2 linked regions of the Struthio camelus genome follow. The protein of the gene in region 2 purifies or fractionates together with the protein of the main gene of each other region. This does not show direct contact. Links are inferred from orthologs where the notes say so. Each region holds a gene or a part of one and is shown on either strand. Other genes may lie near its edges.

Region 1 (7,527 bases), on a different chromosome or scaffold from region 2:
CATCCAAAAGTTCCATTTCAATTCTGGCGGGGCTTACAAAGTCTTCCGCAGTTCTCCCAATATCGCCAATGCCGCTGTCACAAAGCGGCAACGGTACACCTCCTGGACAGTGATTTCCATCATTCCCTCTGTCAAACGTTAAACCTCTGACTTCTTCCTTTTTACTGTGTGGTGTTACTTCACAGCAAGAACGAAGTCTCAGCTCAACAGTTTGTGCTGCGTCTTTTCCCTTTAAGCAAACTGGACCTTGTGAAAGCATGTCTCCTTCACCAAGCTCTTTCACATCTCTTTCACACAGCTCTCTATTGTCTGTGTCATTAAAATCAAAAGCCTCTAATAAATTGAAATTCACCTCCATCACCTCTTCTTCTGGACCACTGTCTCTGCCATGTGTACTTAATTCCTCTTTCACAACTACATGACCAGTCAATGCTACGTCCGCAGAGAGCTCCAAGTCACTGGACACTGTTTCTGAATTTCGTCTCAGCTGGAGTTCATTTTGTGACTTTGAAGATGAATCCTCTTTAAGACCATTAGTCACTGAACGCTCTCTGCATGTGGAGAGATTTGTTTCAAGGACGATGGACTCAGCTGGACTTGCTGAATAAGAAATATCACTTAAGGATGGGACACATTGACTGTTGCTCATTTTACTTATGCTAGATTCAGATAGGAAGCAACTATTTGGATGGTCACTAGCAGCACATTTGTTAATCGATAATGGTTTAGGTACCCCATCACTTCTAGAGAATGAGGGTTCTCGACATCTTTCACAATCCCAAATGCATTGCCTTTTGCTGTCTGTTAAATTCATACAGACACACATTTTTTCAGGGTGCAAAGTCTTTGTATTGCAGGGGTCTTGTAAATCTTGACTTAAGATATTTGCCTTTCTGTCACGTCTTTGTCCCGCAACTTCTTTATCACAAGCTTGTTCAGCTGAATTTAGAAGCATTTCAGCATTCCATTCCCTTTCATCACTTCCAGTTTCCTTTGTAGAATGTTGGTGCTGAATATTTTGAGTAAAACCTTTGCCGGGGTTGCCTGAAAAGCCAGGTGGGGTTGTACTCTTCTGGTTATAGAAACTATCTATATTTTCTGAGGTCTGAAACTTAGAATGGCATTCCGTGACTTCAGAAATTGTTTGCTCTGTGCATAGGTGGGCTGGTTTAGACTTCAAAAGAGCAATTATCTGTGCTGTGCTCCTGATGTTCTGCGACACCGCCACACGACTGGTTGCCTTGGTGTGCTCACTAATTAGAGGATATTCTGGCTTCACAATGGACTGATCAGAGTTACTCTTCTCTGTCTCTTTATACGTCTCAAGAAATGGAGCTGAAACCAGTGAGGTGAAGGACACATGTTCTTTATCATTGTTTGTATACACATTTTCATGAAAGCTGGTGGATACATTTGTGTCTGCATCCTTCTTGCAAACAGTAGAAAATAAGGGAGAGGTGATATAAAACTTAGATGGCAAGGAACTCTGACACTGCTTAGATAAAGGCAATAATGTTGCTTTTTCTTCATCTTCCTTTGCTGATATTTTCTTTTCAACTTGACGTGGCCCTTGGAAACCCTAAGAGAAAAGTTTAAAATTAATTCTACTCAGAAATCAACCTCACATTTTGTAATCTAAAAGATGAAAACAGGACATGCTTCATAAACCATATTCTGACCAAATATCACAATGATTCCATACACGTACAGAAATAATCTCAAACCCTTGTGACTTTCACTGTACCCCTAGCAACAGCAATTCTGCTAAACCCAAGAAAGATTTAATAAACTACGAAAAAAGAGCTTCCAGTAACATATTCTGATTTACAGTTCCAAAAAAAAGCAGGAAGACATTATCTGTATATTCATCATTCATTTAAAAATGTGCCCTTGGTGTTTTAAAATGCATGTTAATGTCAGACAACCTTTGAAACAAAGACATACTGTAAACTTCCTTTTCAACCCAACAGGCAGGTGTCTTGGAGGCAGACCACCAGGCTTTACGCCATTTCTATTCACTGCTGGAGTTTCTGCTTTCCTTGGCTGATCTTCAGAAGATTTTTCATTCAGTTTTACTGCTTCAACTGTGATCAAATAGCGTTCACTTTCTAAATTATCTCCAGCATTCACCTAGGAAAGATAAGGCAGCAGTGGGTACACAATAGTGCTGCGTAAGAAACACAAACAATTCCCTCTAAATGTTGTGATACTTGCACATAAGAGTCAAAAACGTAATATTTTTCACTCATAAGAAATAAGAAACTATCAGCCATATCGCTAGAGAGAAAAAGTACTACCTTAATTACCAAACAAACAAGGGTTTGGAAGGCTTCCTGCAACACAAACCACAATCATAAGCATACAAATAAAAAAAATCCAAAACAAAATATACCTGAGATTTTATAAACAAACTCTCCAAACATTGTCCTTTATCATCAAACAAGATTGCCTACAATGAAAAGAAATCGTTATTTTAAATAATGAATTTTATTTCACAGATCTACTACATGGCACTGATAGTCAAACAGCAGCAGATGATATCAAATTGTATTAAATTTGTTCACCTTATTTCCTCCAGTTCTAATCCTCAGAATTCCATCTTGCCATGTTTTTGATTTTTTCATTTTTTGGTGAGTGTATAGTACCTGATTTAAATGTTGAAATAGTGATAAGTAAGAAAATGTTTAAATAATACAGCAGCTACATCGATATTGACTTTTTTACTCACTGGCCTACAGTGTAAAAAAAAAGACTTACAGTAAACTCTTGAGAAGCCATTGTTTTGGCACAACGTTCGTCCAACAGCTTATTCTGCAAATATTCATACCTTCATACAGCCTGAGAGACAGGAAAATTTTCAGAATTCAGCATAGTTGTAAGGGAAATGTACTGAAAAAAACAGATGCCAGTTCACTTATTTTTTCTCAAGAGTAGAAAGCTAGATGCAAAAAAAAAAAAAAAGTAAAAAAACTCCACACACACCTTGGCTCTCCACCTCAAGGCATGTGTGATGTGGGAATTCTAAAGACACACCTTGAAAATAATTTAACAGAAAGTCTGTTGGTTAAAAAAAAATTAATAATTTATATACACCAACGTCCATTTTAAATTAATTTAAATGAATGTCTAGCAACTCTGAAAACTCCATTGATCACATAGCACTTTGAAATTACAAATTATCCTAATTGTGTTCACTTGCAGCAAGAAAATATGGAAATTATTAACAGACTAACTTTGTCAAGAGTTTATTGACTTGACTTGGTCACGCATGCTTAACTCACATTCAAGATAACTGATTTTCAAAATCAGCTGCCCGTGAAGTCAAGCCTCTTTACATATTTAAAGCTAGACCAAAATAACTTTTAAAGTAGCTTCCGATGGTGAAAATGGGAACAAAACTTTATAAAAGCAACTTGTCTTTAGAAGCTGGGGCTTACTGTACATTTTGGTTGCTAATATTTGATCAGTACTGTGATTTACACCAGCGCTTAAAGAGCAGCACTTAAGACCTTATTTAGTTTAATCAATTAATGGCATTGCAATGAAAACGCATCACAAGAAATAACATAACATTTCCAGTTATTCTCACACTGCAGCTCAGTGAGAAATACTTTAATATAAAGTAGCTACACACAGGCACATTCATGCTTCTTCTCATGGCGCTGTTTCTTACAGCCGTCACGTTCTTGGCAGCCCCCGGATCAGCACTGTGGATAGTGACACACTTTTCAGAAGCAAACACAAGAAAAGATGTTTAGCAACGTACGAAACCTAGGGAAGAAAGGGAGACGTTCTCTAGGGACACAGAATACCTCCTCTAGCTATTAAAAACAATGCGAATACTTACTATGATTTAGCACAGCAAGCAGCAAAAGCGGGAGTGAATACGAACGCTGCCAGCATTAAGTTTATACAGATTTGCTAAAGGCTCGCTCTTAACACGTCGTACAGGTTAAGCCCCGTGCTAACGGTCAGGGCAGCTGTACGCATTTGCCCTCAGTACGCGGGTGCTCCACTAAAGCCTGCCTCCTCACGGACCTCCCTGCTCCAGGGCAACGCCATCCCCGCGCCGGGGAGGCCCCCGCCCCGCCGCCAAAGCTTGCGCCAGCCGTTAGCGACCCCGCGGCCGTTAGCGACCCCCGCCGCCGCCGCCAACGGCCGAGCCGCTCCCTGCGGGCGCGCGGCGGCGGCCACGCCACGCTACGTCACCTGACGTCACAGCCCCCTTGCGGGAGCGGGGGGTCGCGCGAGCCTCGCAGCCCCCCGCCCACCTGTCCCCGGCGCTCGCTCCCTCCGCGCGTTCGAAAGCTTCCCGCCACTGCCGGCGTGACGTCACTACACGCCGACAGCCAGCGAGACAGGCCCCCCTCCCCTCCCCTCCCCCGCCCGCGAGGAGCGAATCACGCGCCCGCAGCGAGGCGAGGCGTCGCCGCCGCTGCCGCCGCCCTCCCCCCGCTGCCGCACTGCGCATGCGTGCGCGGCGCCCCGGGGCTTTTCTCTGCCAGGGGGCCGCGCGTCGCGCGGGGGCTGACGGCCGGTGAGGGCTGAGGGAGGGGGCGGGGCTGCGGCGAGAGGCGGGCGCGGACGGCGCGGCGCGGCCCCGGTGTCCCCCTGCGAAGTCGGCCTCTTCGGGTCCCCACCGGCGGGTGACGGCGACAGGTCAGTGGCGCGGCGGCCGGTGGCGGCGACCGTCGGGGGCCGCTCTCGCTGCGGCGGCGCAGGCAGGGGGCGCTGCCGCCCCTCCCTGCGCCGCCGCCTTCGTGCGCATGCGCGGGCGCTCCTGGGGCCGCAGGCCGTTAGGGGGCGGCTCGTGCCGGGCGGGCCGTTGGGTCTCTGCGGCGGAGGCGGCCGGCGGGGGGCGCCATCTTGTCGCGTCCGTGCCGGGGTGCGGCGTATGCGTCTCCCTGAGGTACCGTCCCAGAATCGCAGAATGGTTGAGGTTGGAAGGGACCTCTGGAGATCATCTAGTCCAATCCCCCTGCTCAAGCAGGGACCTCTAGAGCATATTGCCCAGGATCACATCCAGGCGGGTTTTGGATATCTCCAGCGAAGGAGACTCCACAACCTCTCTGGGCAACCTGATCCAGTGGTCTGTCACGCCTGGGCTAACCTCTGCCTTTGCTTCCTGCAGACGCAGCGGGTCGGTGAGCAATCTGAGTAGCAGGGCTGAAACCTGCAGTGGTCAATACCTAAATAGTTGGCAAACATATAGTGGTTGGCCTCTTCAGGGACTGTCATTTTGCCAGTTGCTTCAGTGGCAGAGATTGCAATGGGGCTAGGAAAACTTGTACATCGTGCCTCTCCTCTTTGAAGGGGAGAGAAGAGGAAGTTCACCCTATAGTTGTGTAGTGCCTCTGAGCTGGTCTGTTTGCAGCCACTAAAAGGGCGGCAGAATGTCTTGCTTTTGTAACCTCTCTATGCTGTACCTGAGGGCTCATCCCTGCAGCTTCCCTTCGTCATCTGTGCTGCTTATTAAGTCCTTTAATGAGTTGACCTAACCCACTTACCCAGCAGAGAAGTAAGACTACAAAATAGTAACTTCTCAGATCAGAGAGCTGAACTGCCTCCCCAGAGGATGATACAGACTCTGAGGGAGGACTGTGTAGTGAGTAAGACAGGAACCAGGCTGTCCTTTTAGTGTTAGTGTGAATTGTTGGTTCATACAGCTGAATCAGTCTAATTGTATTCCTTAATTCTGCACCTGAAGCTAGGCTTATTGCACTTATGACCCAGAATGGCCTTTGCTAGCCATTGCAATGAAGAATGGGAAAATGAGACTCTGGAACAGGAGTTGTGACAGTAGATGAGTTTGGTGGTTGTCCACTTACTTCAGCTGTGAAAAAAGGAGATGATGTGACTGACTTTGTTTGCAGAGTTATTTGGGATCCACTGATTAAATGTCTTGCTAGAGGTGCCTGTTTTCTTGTTATTGCAGTTGCCTTGTGCTGTGGGCCTGCATTTTATTCAAAACCTCCCTTTCAGGCTCTAGTGATGACAGAGAAACGGTGACCACGGCAGGCCTGGCACAGTAAGGTCTGCCCATGTCTGGAGACAGCCGTAACAGCCATCACTGTCCTGTGGAAGCTGAACCTTTTCTGTTTGTGAGCACACTAGTCCTAGGATCCATACTCAGCATTTTATGACATCTTTTGTATGTCTTAAATGTCAGTTTAAAATTACCTACTAGTTTCGTGGTTCAAATCGGAAGAAAGCAGAAGGCTCTCTGTTGTTAGGTTATGTAGCAAAGCGTGCTAGTCTTCATGTAACTTTTGTCCTTTCTCAGGTCACTTTCTGCCTAATTAAGTTATTAGGTAGGGTATGAATTCAAACTAGTGCAGCTCTTCCTGTTTATCTATTAGAATAAGAATATCCAACATAGATGACAAAATGCATCTTTGAAAGTAGTTTAAATTATGCTGAATATCTACTTTTAGTTTGGCATATGTATCTAAAAGAGGAAACACTATATGGAAACATTTTCATAGCCTAAAAAGTATTTTGAATGATTCTTGCCACTCTTGTTTCTTGATACTTAAAATCGTAAAAGCAAACAAGCGTATGTATATTGATACTTAAAACAAGGGAACTGGATATTTTACAATTGGGACTATATTTCTTGCAGACTCTGGATGACAGTTGCATTTGATTATGCTTTTCTAGTGTCCTTGTAACAGTAGAAGTTGGGGGTTTGAAACTTGTCTCTATACAGAATAGCACCAATTTGGTTACCATTTGTCTTCTATAAAGTGTTTAGACAAAGCACTATAGATTTGTGTGAACCTGCATTATTTTTATTTACATGTCCTTTGTTTTTCTGGATTTCCCCCTTTCCTCACCTACCCTGCCAGCCTGCCTAATTGCCCTCCTTTTCCCACTTTCAGTCTTGCGCATAGGGAATATGTGATTTTATTTTATATGAGAAAGACTAAATGAGAGTAGTTGTTCTAATAGGCAGAAATCTTGACCCTGCTTGTGCTTTCTTCTGATTTTTATTGTTAAACAAAACAGTGTTTGCAACTGCAAGGGTGGCAAATTAGCGAAAATGCAGGCATGTTGTATAGCTTTGGGCTGCAGCTTTCATTGCTGAATTGAGATTTGCACCAGTAATTGCGAAGAAAAGGAATGCTAACAAAAAAAGTCGAACTCAAAGCATTTCCTTATTTGTAAACAATATTTTCTTATATTGTGAATTAAACTCAATGATCTCTCACATACGATTATTTCACTACTAAATGTAAAATTGTACACAAATTGTAAGATGGATTCGTAGCTGACGTTTGCTCTGATGCGTTTCTAAGTGCCTCCAAAATCTCATTCCGAAAGATTCATTCCTGAAACAGTAGCAGAAAGGGAGTGCCATAAAAAGAGCAGAATATAGCTTGCAACTTTTTTTGTGTTTCCTTTAAGCTCGAATGAGAACTTGTCTCCTGGGAAAGAAGTCCCAAGGCTGAGTGACTCAAAATGCATGAAGTACTTTAGATGTATCCTTAGAATAAACTTTATTATGCGTAATCTTCAGTCAATGCG
Region 2 (8,086 bases):
TCTAGAAACACATTTAAAGAAGTTCCATCCTGGATCACGGCCTCCAGACAGGCAAGGCTGAGCTTTGCTTCTAGTCCCCAAGATGAATCCAAGTGAAATACTGTCGCTACTTTACCCGCCCAAATATTCTTTGCAACTTCTGTCCTTTAGGATTATTATGCTAGGATTTCTGTCATCTTACTTTTAATGTCTGACTCAGTGGACAGCCGCAATTTTAATAAAACAAGAAGCAAAGTAGCTGTAAGACCACTGCCATTCTCATGTTAAGATGACAAAGTTTCAAATTTACCAGGAAACAGTACTTCCCTGAACCTGCAAGAGGACTTTCTGTTGCAAATACTAAGGGGTCACTGAGATGCCTTATAAATACTTATTTAAGCCAGCAGGTACACTGACAGGTTTGTAGAATTGCAACATTTGGGCCATTCAGTCTACATAAAAACATGGATGTCCTTACTAAGTCTTTCACAGAACATTTAGGCCTAACAGTTTACTAATAGCAATCTCTCAAAAACTCGGGCATGTTAAAGTGCTGACTCCTGGTTATCTCTTCTGGGTATGGTGCTATCAGTGGATTTTTAGATCCAGCTACTGGTACAACTCCTCCCATCCTCAAAAACTTTAACAAAACAGCATACCTCTTAATTCTGACTCTGTCACAATTAATCCGCTGTTGATGGTTTAAACCATCAAGAGGCCACTATAGCCGATAGGGTATGAAGCACCAAAGTCCTATGAATGACTTCCCCTCCCTCTGCCATTAGTAGATGCTAACTTTGCCATACCAGCTTCACATTTATTGGTCCAATTTCTTCCAGTGTTGCAAAAATATTAAAAAAAAAAAAAATTCCAATCCCCACTTTGAGCTGACTGTCTAGAAGACACACTCTTCTGTTACAAGGCTCCACTGCCTTTTTCTTCAGGAACTTTATAACAGCAAAAATCTATCCAAGTTTAATATTTTCATCACATTCTTCTTGAACACCAGTCTCTCTGCTCTGAAGGGTTTCACTTCACAGACCGATCAAAGGAAAAAAAAAAATATTAAAAACCCTGAGCTTTCTACTTGCTGCAGGAGACTCACCTGAGTCACGTAAAACCTGGCTTCTATATCCCAGAGCTCCCCAAGAAAGCTGAAACATTTTGCTTTATACTGAATGCTTTTATGTGGATTCCCTCATCTTCAAGGTACCACTTGGACACTTAACTTTAAAACATCAGTTGGAAGCCAGTACAATATCTTCATGGGGCAAAGTACAACTCCTATTAAAGGATCAGCCAAGCTGCAGTATTAATCCTTCCTCATTTATCATTTTCACATAATAACTTTTGGGATAGGGTCCTCTCTCATCACTATGATTTCTTGAATTTAATCTTTCTGTCTTCTCCAACAACTGAAACCAAACAAAGCCATTATTCTGACAAGATGCATCTCCTGGTGATGATTAAGACTCCTGAAAGATATACTGGGCATCAGGTGGACTCTGAATTTGCCAAACTTTTTATGCCTTAACATAGCAAGACATAAAAATGCCTTAACATCAACGTTTCAACTTAAGCACAAACTTTTTTTTTTTTAAGTGAAGAGAAACAAGTTAAGTTAGTGACTTAATGAACTGAAACACAAATACATTGTGGACAATTTACTCAACACATGCTTACTCAAGACAATCACTTGAGGTTTCTATTCATTCATTTATTTATTTTCACGCTTAAAACTCCATATTTGATTTCTTATTTAGGACCATCGACAAAGTTTAAATCCAAATAAACAAACATAATCGTTATAGCAACTTGGCTCAAGCTCATTATCAAACGTCTGCAGTAAAGGAAGAAACTGAATCCATGTTCTCCTTGGTCCCAGGCTAGGGCACTCAATCATTTGTTACCCTTCTTTTCTACACAAGAGACAAGTAATAAGTTATCAGAACAAAGTCTGATACGTAGTTTTATCTCTACATAGTTACTTAAATCTTAAGAGGAAGACATTAAATAGGATCAGAATTAGGTCTATAAAGCTGACAATATCAGCAGAAAGAGTGTAAGGTCTTTCTACCTGCCCAAGCCAGGAACAGACACTATCAGGATCTGTACTCCGAATGAGCAATACTCTTATACTGTACTTAACTACAAAAAACTTCGGGACAATGAGACATAGCAGCCAGGCCACCAACAAGGACTATATAGCTTTACAGTTTAACCAGAATCCCAGCATACTGGAGATGTATAGTGCTGAAGAGCTGTGTGGTTCTGTCACATTTAGTCTAATCTCGAATTTCAGCTACAAACGGCAGATCCAGTCAGCTCACTTAGTAACACCAACTCGTCCTAAAACCCTTAACTGAGACAAAGTACTTCCACATCACAGCTTAGCCAGCTGCAAGCCAATACTAGGATCAGAAACCTATAGCTTATTTGAAAACTTCCATATACCGCACAGAAGCATTAAGCTGTAAATCATGCTAAAAAAAGGGGGGTCTTCGACACCGGTATGGACCCTATCAACAGCTTATTTAGCCTTACCTAACCGCTGCACGATGGTAAACTGCTCCTTCCCCCGCGCCGAAGCTCCTCCGTGCAGCCACCGCCCCCCGCAGCGCCACCGCTGCTCCCACCCCGCCGAACCTCTGTGAGGGCGCAGCGCGAACCCGCACACCTGCCCCCCGCACCTGCTGCCTTTAAGGAGAAGATAAAAGCCCCAGCCAAGCACAAACGCTTCGTCACAAAGCTGCACCAGCAACTCGCTCAGAGGGCAGCTGCCCCCCGCCCCGGCCTTGTCCCTCCGGCCGCGGCGGGGCCCCGCCGACGCAACGGGCTCCTCGCACGCACAGCGTGGGCCGCGAGCGAAGCGACGGCGGGCGGTGCCGAGCTCCCCCGCCCCGGGACCCCCGCCCGACGCCCCTACCCGGCACGGCGGGCGCTCAGGCCGCCCGAGCGCTCATGGCGCCGTCGCGCCCCTTCCCCGCCTCCGCTCCGGCAGCGGCAGCGGCGCGCTTCCGTGACGTAACAGGATAAACACGTCCCCCGACCAGTACGCGATGGGAATGAGGGGAAGGAGGCGGGTGCTTCCGGTGACGCAGGAGCGAGCGCCGGAGGTGGCGCTAGGGAGGCGCGGTGCTAGTGAGGGGTTCGCCGCGCCGCTGGCGGGAGAGGGGCGGCCGCCGCCGCCGCCGCCGCACCGCGGGCGGACACGCACGGTGAGCGCGCCCCGGGATCCCCCCCCCCGCCCCGCGGAGAGCCCCCCCCCCGCGCTGGGGGGCGCCCCCGTGCCCGCGCTGGCGGCCGTGCGCAGCGGGCGCCGCCGCGGGCCGGGCCGGGCTCGGGGGCCGGCGGCGGCCTGCGCGTCTTGGTGCTGGCAGCGCCTCGGGCGCTGTCGGTTTTCAGGGTGTCGGAGTGAATCCGATGTTGTGCGAGTTCTCATCTGTTTCGCCTTTAGCCTGAAGCTGAAAGCTCTTTTTTTCTTTTTTAAATTTTTCCTCTCGGGAGGCTTCTTATGCCGCGTTCGGGTTGCGGTCGTTTATACCGTCGCTCTGTTTGCGAGGCGGTGGGGGTGTCAGAGCACCAAAAGTTTTCGTGAGCCAGCGACCGGAGTGCTTGACCTCTGCTTGACGTTAGAAGCAGTTGGGTATTCACTGTTTTTAAGTTCTCTTGTGGTTCCAGCTCTGGGCTCGTTTGCTTACTTGAGCATGTAAGTGCATTTGAAAATGCAGTTCTGAGGTCGGTCTGGCGAGACAGCGGCACCTGCGAGCCGCAGAAGGTGCACGTTCCTCCTATAACTTCTGCAGAAAGCCAGTATCAATTTGACTGGAATCCATGTAGTTCTCTGTAGCTTCTTAGAGGTTGGTGTGAGGGGAAGTACTGGGATAGGAGAAAGCAGAGGGATAGCCTCTCCTTGGCAGAAGGCCGTTATTTCAGGATTCGTGTATGAATTTTGGATGACAACTGTATAAACGTAGGTTTTGGTTTTTGCTTTTTTTCTTCTTAATCACTCTTTTTAAACCTATGCACAACAGAACAATTCATTTTTCAGTTTACTTTGACTTTTTATCCTGAAAGGAAGGATGTCATAATTCTGCATAGTTTTGAGAGTTATTTTGAACTTATTTTACTTAACAATGGGTTGTTCTGTTATGTACTTAAACTCTTTGTTGGTATCCCAGCGTTTTAAGTCTGCTCTTCACAGTTCTCACTTCTCTCTCATGCTTTTTAAGTAGGCTCTTTACTCTGGTTTAGAATTTGGATGGATTGTTTTAAAATTATTCTTTATTTGAGGTGTCTGAGACTTCAGAGGTACTGTAAGATACACAAATGTGTGGAAATCCACAGAATCAGTACAGGTGATTAGCGGAGGCTGAGCTACTGATTTGGCTTGGATGAAATATTCAGGGTTTGTTGGTACTCTCAAGTGGAAATGCTTAAAGCACGGAGGTCTTGACCTGTTACAGCAGCAGTATGGTGATATTTTGTTGTCAGAATGTTTGTGCTGTAAGGTGAAATGGCACTGTGGAAGCAGTGATCCACACAGTTGTTTGCATCGATGTTCTTAGCACAGCAGCCCTGTCACAGCTTGGTAGAACATTTTTTTTGTGGCATTGACACTGATGAAGGACAGGATGTTGGTAACCACGGGTGTTCACATAAAGAAAATTGCTGATACATCAGTCTTTATATAAATATATCCCTAAACCCTTGCCTTCATTTCTTGTGCTCCCAGTGATAGAATGAAATGATGTGACTAGAAACGTAAACCGGTGGGATTTTAAGTCTTTATCAGAATACTCTTGTTAATATTTTCTTTTCAACTTATACACTTTGGCTCTTTTCCTTCTGAATTGGGAATTAATTTGACTTTGGTGAGCCGTACTTTGCTAAATTGATTTTTTCCTAATTTTAAGTCAAAAAGATTGGAAGGAGTATCAGAAGTGTAAGGGGTTGGAAAATAGTTGATACAATGGCAAGTGAGGCTCCATGTCAATAAATGTGCATTAATGCATATTAAAGGGAAGCATGGATCTAGACAAATGTTTTACAGGCTTTCAAGTTAAATGCATCTCATCTGGAAAAGGACCTTCACCTCTGGATTGTGGTGTCAGTGAATGCTTTTCTGTGTAGCCAAAAGAACAAACGATGAACAAGGAGCAGCTGAGGAAAATAACATGGATTTTTCTCCCCTTGTAAATCAGTGGTACATGTCATTACGAATCTTTTAGGTTGTAGTTGTATACGATAATTGATCCTGGCCCTGTTTCCAGTGCCCTTCCCCCCCGCCCCCGGGATTCTTCTTTAAGCGCTACTTAAGCCCTACCTTGCAAAAAGTATGTACTGCAAAATTAAGGAGGCTCACAGACTGACTAGAGCCATAGGAGAAGATCCTCTTGTGTGAAGAGAGACTGAAATGACAGATCATTCAGATCAAAAAGGGGATGAAAAGAGAGGCATGATAGCAGTAGTTCAAATATTGTCTGTTCTTGTCTTAGTACAAATGGGTATTCAGTAAAGCTGAAAGGTGTTGAAAACTGAAGTAAGGTAAGTATTTCCTCATTTATTTTAACCTATAGCAAGAGTATGAAACTCTATGCAACAGCAAATGACTTGAACTAAAGAGATTCAGAGAAAAGTTGAATGGTAGTTTAGATAACAAAAATACTGGAGCTTTATATTTTCTAATCATAATAGTTAGGAAGGAAGGACAGGGAAATGCAGAGCGCCTCTTATTTCACCTTGTTTTGGTATCTCATCTAAGTTGAATATGCCTAAGCTTGCTGTAGTCATGCTTCTGATTGCTTTTGAAAATCTTATGGCCTAATATTTATTAGGAACAGATGGATTCTCTCTGTATCCCGGTGTTTTCTCTCTGCCTTCCTCATAGTAGAGAATTTTATTTACTGCTCTGGTGGACTTTTTCTCTCTGTTGTTATGTTCCTGCTTTATTGTGTTACCAGGATAGAATATGTTTATTGAGTGTTTTCAGCCTTTCCCAAGCATGTGGAGGGAGAGTACTTTGTTCCCAACCTGTTTTATCTGTCCTGCCTGCTCTCTACCAGGTGGTGCCAGGATATGTTTGAAGCGCTGTCAAATACTAATTGTTGGAATCGGTCTAACTGTTGGAAGAAAAAGCTGCATCTTTTTCTCTTTCTATTCTCAAAGTGCCAATTGCCAGCTGTTGCAGAACTGGCTGTGATATTTCTGTTGGTCTGCAATTCTCTAAGCGTCTTTTTTAATTTTACTCATTTAAGAGTGCCTGAGGTTTCTTTCTAGAACTTCCCAGCAGAGAGAGTTAAACTGGCCCAGATTTTTCAGTTTCAGTTGTTTGTCACACTAACAGTATAAAATGAGATATATCTGAGTAGCATCAGAACCGTTGCCGTGCCTGCCTCTGGATTTACAGCGCAGCTTTGGTTTTATGCTTTGTTCACGTATGGCAAGATATAGCTGTCTGAGTTGGAAAGCTGCATGTTTTGTGTTTCAAAACTGTAGGGCCTGCAAAAGGCTGATAGCACAGTCTTCAAAATTAGAGATCCTGGAGCAGTAGATATTTCAAGATATGGTGAAAAGTGATGTTCAAGTAAGTGGAAACAGACAAGAATTATATAGAAAATACTGGAGGGCTTTTTTTCTTTTTTACCCTTAATGTAGTGTCCTTTAGAAAGGAAGAATGAAAAATTAATCATTGATTGACAAAGAAATGAAGATGTGCCAAAAATCTAAAGTTTTAGTGACTCTTGTAATCCCCATGATGAGGAAAACCTTTTTGTATTACATCTTTTGTACTAGCATAGAGCAAGACCCAGTGCTGGGGGAATCAGAGCAAAGCTCTTCTTGGCAGCTGGCTGCGGTGGGGCAGCTTGTGCTGCGTTAATGGAGTGGTGTCTGTGCATGCTGAAGTATCATTATTTGAGAGAATAAAGAACGTGCTTTATGGAAAATAGTCATCTCTGACCAAAAATGAGGAAGAGGCTGTTTAAATTAATAGGGCAGATGATTGTATGTCCCAATATTAAAGAAATTTCGTAGTACTTCTTCTGTATATGCTAATAGAAAAAAATATCAGCTACAGTGTGTTGGGTAGGAGACAAAACAAAAATAATAAAATCTATTTTTAGGACAACTTTGTCCTGAGAGAACAGATAAATCTGGTTACAGTGTAGTAAACTTGAAGTCTGATCTCTTGAGTACTTGCTAATGGAATTTTCTCATTCTGATCTTAAGATTTTAGACTTTTTGTGGTTGGCAATGTGTTGTTAAAGCTGTGTTCTGAATAGGCCGCGTCGTTTAAGAAATGGAAATTTTCTAATAGTAACAGATCAAATGCGTTCAAGATACTGAAAAACACATTTTCCTCCCTTTAAACTTTTTTTTCCTCTGGTATTTTCAAAAACATCCTTACTTTATCTCATTGATCCCAGTTAAAATTTGTATGCTTAGTCCTCTGTATAAGATTTGTCACCTATTTTTCCTTAGTAGTGTTTTGGGCAATGTTTTTGGTGGTGGAATCTATCTGATTAATTTTTCTCTATTTTATTTTTCTAACTGCAGAATCTCCCTACTGAGATTTTGCTTCTGTCCCCATACTTCTTGTTTGATGTAATTCTGTGTAAATCTGTGGGGTTTTTTTTCCTTCAGTCTGTTGGCTTTTATGGTGGTTTGTCTCTACCCTTTTTTTCTTTTTTTCCCCTCGAACTTGTGTGGTTTTTTTTTTTTTTTGGTCAAAATCTGGTGGTGATTCTTGCTGGTTTCACTGTGGTCCCTCAGCAGTCATAAAAGTGGGAGTGTTTTTATCACTTGTGCTGCCTAATAATTCAGTAGGGCATGTGCGTGAATGTCGGTGCCTGCTGCCAGTAGTATGTACTGGGATGTTGGAGGTGACTTAACTGACAGAGCAGCATGATGTGAAAGCTTGCATTCAGCTTTAATGGCATTTCTCTGAAATATGTTCTTTTTTGAAAATTATGTTGAGTTAACTTCCCAATTTCAGTAAGTGTTCCAGGCAGCAGTGTCTGGGCGCTACTGTATTTGTTAAAATGTGCAAAAATTTGGAAAGCACCAGCCAGAATCTTAATCCATTTTCTAATCTTTGCTGTTGGTC

The links. Proteins that work in one complex are often made in the same cells at the same time.
Region 1: the proteins of ZCRB1 (region 2) and LARP7 purify together in Homo sapiens (affinity purification with mass spectrometry; 3 studies listed by BioGRID and IntAct, counting the BioPlex papers as one, with this or other methods). This does not show direct contact. The link is inferred for Struthio camelus from reciprocal best matches to the Homo sapiens genes ZCRB1 and LARP7.

The regions. Positions count from the first base shown.
Region 1 is NC_090945.1:23,239,570-23,247,096, reverse strand, and holds the start of LARP7 (la-related protein 7), read left to right. Parts: upstream 1-4,460; 5' UTR 4,461-4,659; intron 4,660-4,754; exon of another isoform or gene 4,755-4,909; intron 4,910-7,527. Other genes in the region: 5'-3' DNA helicase ZGRF1, read right to left, coding at 1-1,579, 1,945-2,130, 2,393-2,449, 2,565-2,645, 2,758-2,778. UniProt on the Homo sapiens protein: RNA-binding protein that specifically binds distinct small nuclear RNA (snRNAs) and regulates their processing and function.
Region 2 is NC_090942.1:34,031,224-34,039,309, forward strand, and holds the start of ZCRB1 (zinc finger CCHC-type and RNA-binding motif-containing protein 1), read right to left. Parts: upstream 3,049-8,086; 5' UTR 2,906-3,048; exon of another isoform or gene 2,524-2,905; intron 1-2,523.